Linked DNA regions of Astyanax mexicanus. The protein of the gene in region 2 purifies or fractionates together with the protein of the main gene of each other region. This does not show direct contact. Links are inferred from orthologs where the notes say so. Each region holds a gene or a part of one and is shown on either strand. Other genes may lie near its edges.

Region 1 (7,364 bases), on a different chromosome or scaffold from region 2:
TTAGTTAGCTTGGTTAAATGTGTGTTAGTTAGCTTGGTTAAATGTGTGCTAGTTAGCTGGGTTAAATGTGTGTTAGTTAGCTGGGTTAAATGTGTGTTAGTTAGCTGGGTTAAATGTGTGTTAGTTAGCTGGGTTAAATGTGTGTTAGTTAGCTTGGTTAAATGTGTGTTAGTTAGCTGGGTTAAATGTGTGTTAGTTAGCTAGGTTAAATGTGTGTTAGTTAGCTAGGTTAAATGTGTGTTAGTTAGCTAGGTTAAATGTGTGTTAGTTAGCTGGGTTAAATGTGTGTTAGTTAGCTTGGTTAAATGTGTGTTAGTTAGCTTGGTTAAATGTGTGTTAGTTAGCTTGGTTAAATGTGTGTTAGTTAGCTAGGTTAAATGTGTGTTAGTTAGCTTGGTTAAATGTGTGTTAGTTAGCTTGGTTAAATGTGTGTTAGTTAGCTAGGTTAAATGTGTGTTAGTTAGCTTGGTTAAATGTGTGTTAGTTAGCTTGGTTAAATGTGTGCTAGTTAGCTGGGTTAAATGTGTGTTAGTTAGCTGGGTTAAATGTGTGTTAGTTAGCTGGGTTAAATGTGTGTTAGTTAGCTTGGTTAAATGTGTGTTAGTTAGCTGGGTTAAATGTGTGTTAGTTAGCTAGGTTAAATGTGTGTTAGTTAGCTAGGTTAAATGTGTGTTAGTTAGCTAGGTTAAATGTGTGTTAGTTAGCTGGGTTAAATGTGTGTTAGTTAGCTTGGTTAAATGTGTGTTAGTTAGCTTGGTTAAATGTGTGTTAGTTAGCTTGGTTAAATGTGTGTTAGTTAGCTAGGTTAAATGTGTGTTAGTTAGCTAGGTTAAATGTGTGTTAGTTAGCTGGGTTAAATGTGTGTTAGTTAGCTTGGTTAAATGTGTGTTAGTTAGCTGGGTTAAATGTGTGTTAGTTAGCTTGGTTAAATGTGTGTTAGTTAGCTTGGTTAAATGTGTGTTAGTTAGCTTGGTTAAATGTGTGTTAGTTAGCTTGGTTAAATGTGTGTTAGTTAGCTAGGTTAAATGTGTGTTAGTTAGCTAGGTTAAATGTATGTTAGTTAGCTAGGTTAAATGTTTGTTAGTTAGCTTGGTTAAATGTGTGTTAGCTAGCTAGGTTAAATGTGTGTTAGTTAGCTAGGTTAAATGTGTGTTAGTTAGCTAGGTGAGGTGTGTTAGTTAGCTAGGTTAAATGTGTGTTAGTAGCTAGGTTAAATGTGTGTTAGTTAGCTTGGTTAAATGTGTGTTAGCTAGCTAGGTTAAATGTGTGTTAGTTAGCTAGGTTAAATGTGTGTTAGTTAGCTAGGTTAAATGTGTGTTAGTTAGCTAGGTGAGGTGTGTTAGTTAGCTAGCTAAGTTGTGTAGCTAGTTTGTATGTGTGTTAGTTGTTTTTTTTTGTGTTAGTAAGCTAGCTACGTTAGCTAGTTTAGATGTCGGTTAGTTAGCTAGGTTAAATAATCCTCAACTATTAGTAATTAGTTACCATGTTTCTCAGTTTATAATACTGTGATATAATCTGCATTAACTTCTTAAGAAGAACACAGCAACTCTTCAGTTATTAGTAAAGGGTTACCATGTTCTGCTGTTCAATTCTGAGAAAGTTGTGTTATGTAACACGATTTCCAACAAAATAAGGATGTAGGACACAGCCTACAGTAAAGGTTTATGAGAGTTATCACTTCTACTGAGCACAGGAGGACTGAAGTGGAGCACAATTTTATTTTACACACCTGTAACACTCACAGAACATTACAAAAATGTGGATTAATCAGATTACTGCACCTTCCAGTGTTTAACATTTGGAAGATATTGATGATTTTAAGATAAGTAAGGTTAAAATATGACAAATGGTGTCACTGGTTCTATTATCACCACTGATATTAGAGAATAACCTGCAGCGGCAGATAAACACACTGTGAAATTACCGTAATTACCCTAATAATGCGCACAGTGCGCTCTGTGATACTGCAAAAAGAAGATGAAGATGAAATTGTATAAGGTTGGTGCTTAATGTTAAAGCAGTGATCATTAAAACAAAATGTATTACAGTCATTATTAAGGTCTTAGATGCTTTCTGGAGAACATATGACCCATTTTTACATGTATAAAATTTGTGTCTTTTTGTCATTGTTAAACAGAAAACTTTTGATTAGTGGCCTGACTTGTTAGTTTGAAATTACCTGCTAAATAAAAGACTTGTCCAGAATTCCGAATCTCTCACGAATGTCAGACATAAAACTAACTTTACCGCAGTACTCGGTGGATCTGTTTTGGTAGCAAATAATATTTTATATCAGTATTGGAAGAGCACAAACATGCCAGATGTTATTTGTATAATATGCAGAACATCTTAATGACACTAAATGGATGCAATGCTCATTTCTCCCAGCAAGAAGATCTAAACACACCTTCTTTCAGGATAATGGAAAAATTATATGATCATTATTGTAATAACAACTATATATTTTTTATTGAAAAAACTTGTTTGATAGAAAAGTTCACACTATTTTCATTCTTCATTAATGACATATATAATATGCAATAACTTTTCTATAAATGAATTTTATATTACTTTAATTTTCTGTTATTTAAAGAGGTAAAATCACTGAAACTAAAACAATAGTGTTTTATTAATATAATAGCATTAGTAGTTTTTTTATTAATGATTATAATAGTCACTGACAGAGCGATGTTCGTGTGAACAGCTAACCTGTTCTCCTAAACACCTCAAGTTACTAATGAATGTGTTATAGGTGGAGTTTCTGCAGATCTTCGCTATCTCAAGCTATTAACCCTGTTAGCTAACAGGAAGCTGGTCTCAGCAAGCCCCAGTGCCTAGCTTTGCTAGCTTTAGCGTATTAGTTCTTATAAAGTAGCGCTTAGGTCCGGTAGCTTTAGCCTTTAAGCTCTTATGAGTATTTTAGAAAACATTGCCACATTTTAAAAGTGATGCAAAAAATTTTTTTAGCTGTATTGTGGAGAAAAATCTCTCTGACACACATGTTGCATTGCTTCATTATTTATTGCTCATATTTTTCCAAGAGCTGATTGGGCTGAGCAGTGTGCCTCTGATAGCGATCAGACACAGATGATTAGATGTTACCAGGGGGCGTAATTACTGATCGAGTGATTTAAATATTGTGAGTGTATGTAATGCAATTTAATGTAATGCAATATTATGTCTGGAGCCCATAAAGGGACATCATGTAAAAATAAAAGCATGACCATGCCTTATTAAGGCGTGGGAACGAGATCCTAAGGCGTGGGAACTGGATAATTAAGGAGTGGGGATGAGATCATTAAGGCATGGGAACGAGTTCATTTAATCTAGCTGAGAATAATAAAGCTTGCTTTTCTGTAAATTAATGCTCATGAAGAAACTGTATATTACATATTTAATCCAAATATAATCTTTAGTAAGAAAATGGAGAGTGAACTGGTTTATTTTTATTCTAAATAAAGAAAAATAAGGAAATTAAGAAATTATGTTGATATTTTGGAATAAAGTAAAAGACACTTAATTTGCATACTAAAAGCTGATTGGCTTAGACGCATACAGTAGAGCTGCTCGCTTTGTTAGCTGTGAAACAAAAGGACCTTTTGTTCACACCTTAATAGCACTGTTTTAATTAATTCATTCCCACGCCTTAATGATCTTATTTCCACACCTTAATTATCTTGTTCCCATTCCTTGGGATCTTGTTCCCACACGTTAATAAGTTGTGGTCGTGTCTTAATGATATCATTCCCACATCTTAATTATCCTGTTTCCACGCATTAGTATCTCATTCCCACGCATAAGTATCTCGTTCCCACACCTTAATCATCTCTTTTTTACATGATGTCATGTTAGGGGCTCAGTAGTAATGTAATGTATTAAAGTGTTATTGTGCGCTGTTAATTTGGAATCACTATACCAATTTAAATTAATTTACCAAGTTAATTAAGGCACCAAGTTGGCTGTCCCCCACTCAAACATACAAGTATATACTATAATTTTAATTGACACCACTTATATACATATAATTGCATTTTACATCTCTTGCATTAATTATTTATTAAGTATCATTAATTATCTTGCATTAATTTAAATATCCACTATAAAAATTCGCGTCTGAAAAAAAAAACCCAAATGCGATTAATCGCAGTTAATCACAGAATTTTGTTGTGATTAATCGAATTATTTTTTTTAGCGTCCTGCTGCAGTTTCTCTGCTCCGCCTGTGGGGGCGCTGCCGCGTGTGAGCTCGCGGGGCCTCTCGCGCTCGGCGGTAAAGCAGCGCAGCGCGCGGCGAGGCGCGGATTGCAGCGAGTGGAGCGGCGCGAGGATGGCGGCGACCGGTGCGGGAACAGCGGGGGGAGCGGGGTCCGGCGGGGCCGGGACTGGAACCGGCGGGGCGGCGGGAGCCGCGGGTGCCGCGGTAGGCAGGAAGAAGGACGGCGGACCGGCGGGGAAGTTCTGGGAGAGCGGGGAGACCGTGGCGCAGCTGGAGGCTGTGCGGCAGTGGATCAGCAAGCACTACAAGAAGGTTAGCGGCTAATGCTAATGCTAACGGTCTGTGTAAAACCCGTGCTGGAGCTAATGCTAGTGTAGCTAATGCTAACGTAGCTAACGCTAATGCGGCCCGTGGCGCGCGCTCACACACAATAACACAATAGAGCTCGCGAGGAGCTAAATCACACACTAACCCGCTGAAACACACAGTTTTACAGCGTTATTCGCGTTTAATCAGCATTTAATCAGTTTAAACCGCGCACAACTCTTTTATCTATTAGTTTATGGTCGGTAATAGTTTGTTTTTTTATGTGTTTTAAAGCGTAAATCTGCTTAAAAACGAGCTAAAGTACGCTAAAGCTAAGCTAAGCTAACAGTGTTTTGGTGTGTAGTGGCGGCTAAGCTAACGGCTGTTACTCTATCTAACCTGGTTTATTATAATTTATTCAAGTTTAATCCACTTTAAATCCTGAAATAATATGAAATAAGCTGATATAACGCTGCCTGGGCTGTTTTATATCCAGTGTGAATTAAATATCTGCTGGTTTTAGGGGTGTTTATGATGGTAGACGGTTTGATTCATTGTGTGGGTGAAGTTTGTTTCTCTGTTTCTGGGGTTTAAATATATAATAATAATATTTATCACAATATAACCGGTCTGATTGTTTGTTTTTTAGTTCTGTTAGACGAGTTAAAGTAATTTAGCCGTGCTGGTAACTAATTAATGAAGGTTAATCCGGGTTAAAACAATAGTTTAGATATTAGACGACAGTTAGTATAGAAAATAATGCAAGAAAAAAATCAGAAAATGTGAAATTTAGAATGTGAGGTGCATAAATGTTGGTGAAAAAATCCCTACATTTACTTTTTTTTAAGTATTTAGCAGACCATATCCTCAGCGACTTACAGAAGTGTTTTGTTGTTTACTTTAAAAATATCCACTACTACATTACTATGTCATGTAAGTATTAAAGTAGTAAAGTATTCGTGAATATGGCCTCTGTATCACGCTTGCAGTAGTAAAGTAAAACTATCCTTTACCTCTTAAACACATTAATTAATGGCTTTTAGTTTTTTGTTTGTGGAAGCCATATTTAAAAACCCTAATTTAAACAATGGTTTGTAACCTCCACTTGAACTCTAATATTAGAATTACTGAGTGCCAAGTAGGAAATTTTAACTGGAATGCCCCCTGATTTTCTATGTAAAACACTGACCTATGGCTCACTATATATCTGAATTTTAAACATTTATTCATTTTGTTTGTTAAAAAAAAAACTAACTTTTGAGTTCCATGTTCGATCTCCTAATATTCAGTTTTTGATGTATTTTTTTTTTAAACCTTTTCAGTATTGGTATTGAGATACTTATGCAGGTATAATAATAAGTCAGACATTTGGTATTCCATTCCATTACATTAATAATATCTGGTTTAGTGAACACATTGTCTGAACATAGCAAACAAGCTAACTACTTCTAACCTCATTTCCTTCTTCCCCTCCTTTACTCCTCTATCCCATTATTCCCCTTTAACCTCCTTTAGACCCTGTCTAAAGATGTTTTACCTTTAACTTCTATAACTTTTCTTTTACTGTACTTCACTATTGTAAGTCGCTTTGGACAAAGGCGTCTGCAAAATGCAATATAATGTAAAGTAATATACACATAGCTTATTAAAACTTTATGGCTGCCGGTTCTGAACGTATGGTTTTGTATTCGTATTTTCTGCAGCATGTCCAGGCCGACTCTCCATCCTGTAAGACTCTGGCAGGGCTGGTGGTGCAGCTGCTCCAGTTCCAGGAGGACGCTTTTGGACGAAGAGTGAGCAACCCGGCCCTCACCAAACTGCCCGTAAGTGCTTTTCTGCAGACGCTAATTCCACGCTGTTTATCGTACATTTCTTTCCTTGTGTGGCACGATAAACTCAGGTCTGCAGAGTTAGCTGAAGTGATGCTTTATTGTTATTAGGGTTGCACAAAAATCTGAACTATACTGGGTATTCTAGATGGTTTACACAGAGTTTTGCAGACTTGTTTATCGTATGCTTGAAAAAAAAAAAACAGTGTTGCTGGCTGCGTTACTACAGGGTTCCCGCAAATGTCTTAAAGTCTTAAAATGTCTAAAATGCAATACCTTAAAACATTTAAATGCATTACACTAAATTATTTCATTCAGAAGTCAGTACTGAAGCCTGCATGAGCACTGCTCTACAATTTGTCTATAAAATATCTACACTGGCTGTGCTACTTTTAAAATCCAGTGGTTTAAGCTTATATATATATATATATATATAATGTGTATATACACACTCACACACACACACAATAGATCTATTCTAATTTAATAGAGGGTTAAATTTCGATAAATGTGAAAATTCATAAACTATTTTCTTGAGAAACCTTTCACTTTAATGTTTGTGTACAGTTGGTTGAAAGCTAAAAATGAAGGTGTATATAACATGTTGGCAACTATAATCAGGATTTAAATTAATTTTTTCTTCAGTCAGAAATGACTGACCTGTCCTCCGCTCTTTGCTTACGCCCACTGGTTCCTTGGCCTGCACTAGATGGATTGTGACCTCAGGTGTTCAAACATTGCAGCTGCATAACATTTCTTAAACAGAAGATGAAATTGTGTTTTTCCACAATGCACATTGTCAATTTTTTTTCATGGTGATTTCAGCGCAAACGTCCTGTTAATAGCAGGGTTCGTACGGCCATGGAAAAACTTTGAAGGTTTTCCAGACCTGAATTAGTTTTGGAGAAATTAAAATACCCAGAAACCTTTGAAAAAGTCATGGAAATTTGGTCTACAAAACTTGTTTCAGTTAATTCTGTAAGAGTTATGCTGGGCGTGTAGACTAAGTTATAA
Region 2 (6,940 bases):
ACCACTGAATGAACAGGCGGGCAAGAGGCGAGAGGGGAGGCAGGGGGACTGGCTATTGTCTTCCAGTGAACAAAGATGAGCGTCTTAAAGCACAGGCTCAGCGCCCTGCATGTTATAAAGCTTAACAGACCTACTGAAGAACATTTATATCCATCAGTATTTCTCTTAAGAAGCAGAGCAATGATGTGCGCCATCTGAGCTTCAACACCACAACACACTCAGTCCCACTGCCAGCTGGCAGGCGTTAAGCATTAGGCTTTAGGGTTACCTGGAGTGCTTTAACTTCAAACGAAACAGAGGGAACTCTGGGGAAATCATAATCTCTGGTTTAGATTTGAGGGGTGAGCTTTGTTTCTCTGTGTACAGCACACTCGTAAATCAGCTGAAAAGAAACAGAGTGCTGCTGGCTAACTTTATGACTTAACGCCAAGAAGCATAGGAGGTAAATCCATGTCCAAAGAGTGAAAGTCTGCCTCAGGATTTTGATCCAGCTTACTGGGGAGCTTTATTAGAATTTATCCTTGTGGGAAATGCCATTTCAATATTGACAACTATAATGGACACAAGTCGAGAAACTTTAAGTCCATCACAATTTATGAAAATGGCTTGAACCCTTGAACTTTTCTATCATCAACACTGAACATTCTATGCTGTCCAATGAAACTTCAATTGCTGGGATGTGTATTGCCAACAAAGCTCAGGGACTTTCTTTTTAAATTAGTGACCATCACAGCTTTCACATTTTAAGGCACCAAGAAATGTATACATTTTTTGCATTTATTTTGTTTCTGCTGCTAATACAGAAATTGTTTCTTTAAAATAACACTTTCCTTTAATTTGTCCAGTATTTTAGAAGTCTACAGTCATTTTAACTATCAATTTTTTTTCAGTGACCTCTGTAGCAGACAAATACTGCCTCCAATTTTATCCAGCTTCAAAAGATGCTGAATGAATTTTACTCAGAATTGTATAGGAAATGTCAGACTAATGCTGTGTTCTTGTGCTAGCTAGTCAGAGAAAAAGTCATACTTTGCACTTGTGAAATAAAAACCTACGAGCATGTCACATGCAAGGGTGTTTTTTTTTTTTGAGCAACATGAAGAAAGGAAGACAAGGTTTGTTTTTGCTGGTTTCTTGAAGAAAAAGGTTTTAGTAGAGTAGTCAACTTTGCAATGAACAGATTCATAAGCCCTATCTGGACAGGATTGGTTTTCTTCAGGGGTATGTCTGTGAAAAATATTTCACACTTTTACTTAGTGATAAAACTCTTGCGTCCGGACTGCAATTGAAAAAACTAAGACCATTGAGTTTTTTGGCTTTCTAGGTCACGTGAAATTGCGTTCAGTAGCTCCTCCATGTCCACTCAATGTTGTATTTATGTGGATCTCTGTGAGCCCAATGTGTAATTACAGTGGAGTGGCAGTGGAAAAATAGTTATTTTATTAAAAGCAATGTGACTAAACTCAGATGTGCGGCCGGACTGGAGTAAAATTACCGGAGGACCACGGAGTTCAGCGGAAAACAGTGGGAAATTCTGCGTGTAGTTTTCTCAGAGGACATCTGAGAAAAACACATACATGGTCGTTCCAGACGGAAATAAAATTACAGAGGACACCACATAAAAGAAAAAATTACCCCAGGACCTCCTGAGAAACGAATCCCATTCGGACAGGGCTATAGTCTAGAAAATGTGCAGACAACTGTTAACAGCAGCTGCACTTTTAAAATCCGCTACAGATTCTCTTTTTCTCAGAATTTCTCTGGAATTAAGTGTTCAGGAGGCTGTTTGTATGCAACTTCCAAATCAGTCAGTCATATTTCACATAATTCCAACAGCACATAAATGCAGCATTAGAGCTGCCAGGAGAGGAACAGGAGGATGGCTGAAGGCAGGACAGTAAGGCAGTGAGAGTAAAGGTGAGAGGTGGACCCCTCAGATTTCCAGTCTTCTGGTCACTCTAACCGTACTGGACACATTTTAGAGCACACAAACCAATGGGATGTGTCCATCCCTAGATGGAGGGAAAACTATTTTCACATTTCAATACCATTAGCTTTTTGTCCCCTACATTCTTAGACTAATCAAGACCCAGTGACCACTACAAGGAAAATAATATAAAAAATAAACAAAGATTTTTTTATTTTAACCATACCAGTTGTTGAACCATAATACTTAGTGAAATAAAAAAAATATATAAATGTTAAAAGCTGTTTTTCTGGCTCTTAGAAGGGCACAGCAAAGCTGCTCAAGCAGTTTGATCTAAATCCTGGGCTGGATTAATAGCTACTTTTTGGACCTGGGTTCAATCCGCACCAGCGCCAACCAGCATCAATAATAAGCTAGCTATGAGTTAGCATTGAGTGCTAATAGTCTACCAACGTGGTTTCAGTCGTGTGTAATAAACAGACAGTTTCCAGATACACAAAGTAAAAATCCACCGCGGTTTTTGTTCAAACCGCTATGACGGCTGTACTGCAACCAATCCGCCCATACAGTTGGAACAAAACCTGGGCTTGGATTTTTACTTTCTGGAGTTGGACTACCCATTGCTACACTTGCAGCTGCTTTTAGTCACACAAAGCACAGTTTCACACTAATTAAACAGCACAAACTCGAAAACGACACCTAACACACATACGTATCACCTCATAAACCAATATAACTAATATATTATATCTACAGCCTAAATATTAAACCCTGTAGCCCCGTTAGCCTAGCCACCGCTCGCTAACGCTAGTTAGCTAAGCGTGCCGGACACAAAGGCTGGACGTTACGGCGGAGCGTCCACTCACTGTTGGAGAGGTTGATCAGGGCCGCGTCCTGCGTAGTTTTCACCTCCAGGCGCAGAGGCTGCTGCTCCGAGTGCCGCTGGATATCTCCGTTCGCGTCCCCAATGGAGAGGAGCCGCACGCCGGGGAACACCGACACCGCCATCTTCAAGCTTGGGGGGGAAGAGAGCAGCAGCAGCAGCAGCGAACACGCAACCGCTCTGATCCGATCTCCCGCGGACTCGGCGGGGAAGGAAGGCCGGGCTCACTACCGCCCCCGCTCGGCCAAACCCTGCAAGACAACCGCGCTCAGGGCTGGATACTCGATACAATCGATACAAAGTAGAAACTGATGTTTTTTTTTTATTTATAAAACGTTTCCTCGTTTTTATAAATAATTACATAAATGTATCAACATTTCTCTTTGATTTTTTAAATGTATAAATAAAAAAACATACGTTAAATTGTGGGAATTAATCAGCATCAGAAATCAATGCTGTTTTCATGCTTTAGAGATGGAAAAATGAATGATGAGTGAACATACTTTTGCTATCTGGGAATGATGTACTAATTGTGTTAATTATTTATTAAATTGTGGAAGTTTAATTTATTACATTGTTGAAAGAATTTAATAGGCTATGTAGATTAGTAAAACTGAGGGAATAATTACTAAATTTAAGGCTGATTCAGTAAATGGTGGGAATAGTTTATTAACATGTTTATAAATGATCTGTTTCTTTAGAATTCCGGAATAATCTATTAAATTGTGAGATAAAAAAAAATTGAGACTAATTTACTAAATTGTGGGAACAAATTATTAATTTGAGATAATTATTTATTAAATCAGGTCTCTGTCTTTTAATATTATTTTTGGTAATTTGACATATGTTGCTTCTGTGTTTTTTAACCATTATTGCCATAAGTACCATTAAAATGCCATAGAATTGTAATGGTCCAGAAGCAGAATGCAAATGAATGTCAGATTTTTTTTATTATTAGCCCTTACAAAAAATAATAAAAATACTCTAATACTCTAATACTAAATACTCTAAAAGAACTCTAATAAACAAAGAAACAAACAAACTAAAGAAAACAAAGCAGAAACTTAGCAGGCACAAACATCAAAAGCATGACAGAGAACAAAGTAGATATGGGGTATATATACACAGCAGACATCCCAAGTTGCAAAAGTTGATTTCAGGGAGGTTAACCCCCCCACCCCCCACCAAAAAAAAAACAAAACAAAATAAAATTTGCACACCAAATCATATAGGAACTTTACTTTTATATCAATTAATTTTCCTTTTTTTTTTTTATTAAATTTAGAGTATTTAGAGGTGAAATGAGTTTTATCTTTTTTCTTTTTGGAAGGCCCTGCCTCAAGGAACACCTGGGGTAGTAAGGAGGGTTGAAAAAAAAAACAGGAGACAAGACAACAGCAAAACAGGGCAATGTGCTTAAAGAGCACATGGCTAGAAACACAGACAGGATCAGAAAGGACTAAGAAAGAACAAACGTAATTTGTGACCTTTGTTGGTGTTAAAAAATGACCAAGCTTATTTCCAACTCTGTTAGATTTCAGAATGATTTAGAATAAAACTGATTTCCTGAGTATAGTTGGTCCTTTGTCCAGTCATTAGTGTGTGAGATGAGCTAGTTGAGGGGATTGCAGTTGAGTCTGTTGTGGTTGGTCAGCTGTTTGCACCGCATATTGTTGCTGGGTAACCTGCTTAGTCAGGCTGGTGGTCATGCTGGTCATACTTGAGGTCTGGCTTGTTCAGATTGATCATGATTGTAGACCAGCTTAACCATAAAAAACACCCTATGCTGGTTAACCAGCTTAATTACAGTGGTTCATAATATTATCCAATATTACATATTTGTGACTGGCAAAATGATGTGACCTTCTAGGATTAGCAGTTAGTTTGAAGGTGAAATTAGAGTCAGGTGTTTCAATGGATAGTATGACAATCAGGTGTAAGTGAGAACCTTATTTTATTTAACAGTGATTTATTTAAAATGTAAGTCTGTATTATTTTGTTTCTAAACTGAAAGCAGAAGCATTTCTGAGTGGAGAAGGAAGAAAATATTGTGTTTGATGGTACCAGTGTGCTGAAACCACCGTCCCTGCTAAGCCTAATATATTCATTCTAAAAACTGGGGTGTCAGACCACTTTTTGCGGGAATTCACACTACAGACTCTAAAAGAGGATTCGGCGCAGTTTTATTGAATGCGAGTGGCTGGTGGAACAATGGAGACTTCAGAAGAGAAAACTCAGAGCTCAGTATCTCATATAAAAAACAAAGAAATGAAGAACATAACCTGGAATCGAATTCATCCACTCTGAAAGGAGACACCCACCCAGTTTAAAGTGATTCTTCCACATGCTTGGCGGAATTACCTATTCTCACCAGAGAGGGCCCTTAATCCCAAAACCTATGAACATCAGCTTTAAAATCTGCTCTTCACAACACCTTTATAGAAGTCTATTATAACACGAACAAATGTGATTTCTGAGATCCTTAGAAAAAGAGTAGTTGATGCTCATCAAGCTGAAAAAAGTTAAAAGGTTAAAAAACATCTCTAAAGAGTTTTGACTCTAACAATACACAGTCAGACAGATTGTATAAGGAGTGGTCAACCAATGGAAATGTTGTGAAAGGAACTGAAGTGTGCAGTTAATGTGAGGAAACGCACCAACATCCCAGATTTAAAGCTGTTCTGTACAGAGTAAAAAGCTAAAATTCCTCCAAGGCAGTGGAGCAGGACTGATCAAAAGTTACAGAAAATGTTTGATGATGTTTTAGATCATATTTATGCAGAATATTTATATAGATAAAAATTTAAAGGGTTCACAAACCTTTAAGAACCATTTTAGCTAGACTAGCTTTAGATGGGCAGGCTGTTTTTGGGCAGGGAATAGAGACCATGCCAAAACATTGTTTAAATGCCAAAAAAGTAAAAAAACAAACACATGAACATTATTATTTCATTTTATTGGATGTGCATTCACAGTGCATAGCTGTATATCAAGGCATCAAGGGGCTGACAGTTTACAGTGCATTTAAAAAGTAGAAAAACTGTAAAACCTGATCGTTCAGTATATAAATCCTATTATTTTGGCACACACCATGTAGGGCTGAGCAATATGGCCCTGTAAGGGGTAATAGTACCCAGACCTGCCAACCTTGAAGAAATGTGCTGAAAGTTTGGAGGAAAATTAAGTGTGAATAAAAGTAGTGGATGGCTCCATAATTAGTTTGCTGGAATAGTGTTTATGCTTACCGGCCATGTCGATAAACAGCATGACAGCACTATCATCATTATAAGGGCTCTGACTAAAGTTCGAAGCTAGCAGACGTGGGGTGGTTGGATGAACATGAAGTGCTCTGATTGGCTGAAAGCACTTTGCTTGTGTCAGTGACAACCTGACTGAAACTGGCAAACAATATGCATATTTTATAAAACGTATTGTACAAGTGTACTAGGATGTCAAAATGCGTGCACATTACACAAAATGTGAAAATGTTGGCAGGTCTGTAGTACCTCATAAACAGAGACATCAACACACCACAAAGAAGGAAGAAAATAGAATAATCATCCCAACATACCCAATACTCCCTCGGTAGTGTACTCTGCAAGTCATGGAATTGTGGATTGTGTCTAAATCTAAAAAATATATATTTGCAATAGAACAGTATTTACGTTTATTCATATGATAAAATTTAAAATATATGGCTATCTGTGTATACAAGGTGTAATTATTAGCATAGCGTCATAAACTAACAAAGCAAATTTCAGAAATTAAACATATTTTGGTTGATCTATCAGTTATCAGTCATGTCTATTAGTTTTTTTGCTTTAAATCTTCAAAGTACTTAGATTTTCAACCATGTGGTATACACAAAGTGATTGTTTAGGGTTTTAAAAAAGCAATATCATACCAAAACATGATATATGGTTTTGCAATAATATATTATTGCAATAATAGATTTGTTTAATTAGTTTTAATGGTTCATACTGTGTTGTGTTAAAATCCCACCCACTAGATAGCAGTGTTTTACTGTTATAGATGCATAAAGTAGTTTCCTTTAATTCACATTTTATTTATATAATAAGTGTGTGTTTTGATATACTATGATTTTTTGCAATATATTGCCTTACTTGCAG

Evidence for each region.
Region 1: the proteins of carm1 (region 2) and smarcc1a purify together in Homo sapiens (affinity purification with western blotting; 3 studies listed by BioGRID and IntAct, with this or other methods). This does not show direct contact. The link is inferred for Astyanax mexicanus from reciprocal best matches to the Homo sapiens genes CARM1 and SMARCC1.

What each region holds. Positions count from the first base shown.
Region 1 is NC_064408.1:129,661,235-129,668,598, reverse strand, and holds the start of smarcc1a (SWI/SNF complex subunit SMARCC1), read left to right. Parts: upstream 1-4,311; 5' UTR 4,312-4,326; coding exon 4,327-4,527; intron 4,528-6,224; coding exon 6,225-6,344; intron 6,345-7,364. UniProt on the Homo sapiens protein: Involved in transcriptional activation and repression of select genes by chromatin remodeling (alteration of DNA-nucleosome topology).
Region 2 is NC_064426.1:9,726,387-9,733,326, reverse strand, and holds the start of carm1 (histone-arginine methyltransferase CARM1), read right to left. Parts: upstream 3,018-6,940; 5' UTR 2,936-3,017; coding exon 2,794-2,935; intron 1-2,793. UniProt on the Homo sapiens protein: Methylates (mono- and asymmetric dimethylation) the guanidino nitrogens of arginyl residues in several proteins involved in DNA packaging, transcription regulation, pre-mRNA splicing, and mRNA stability.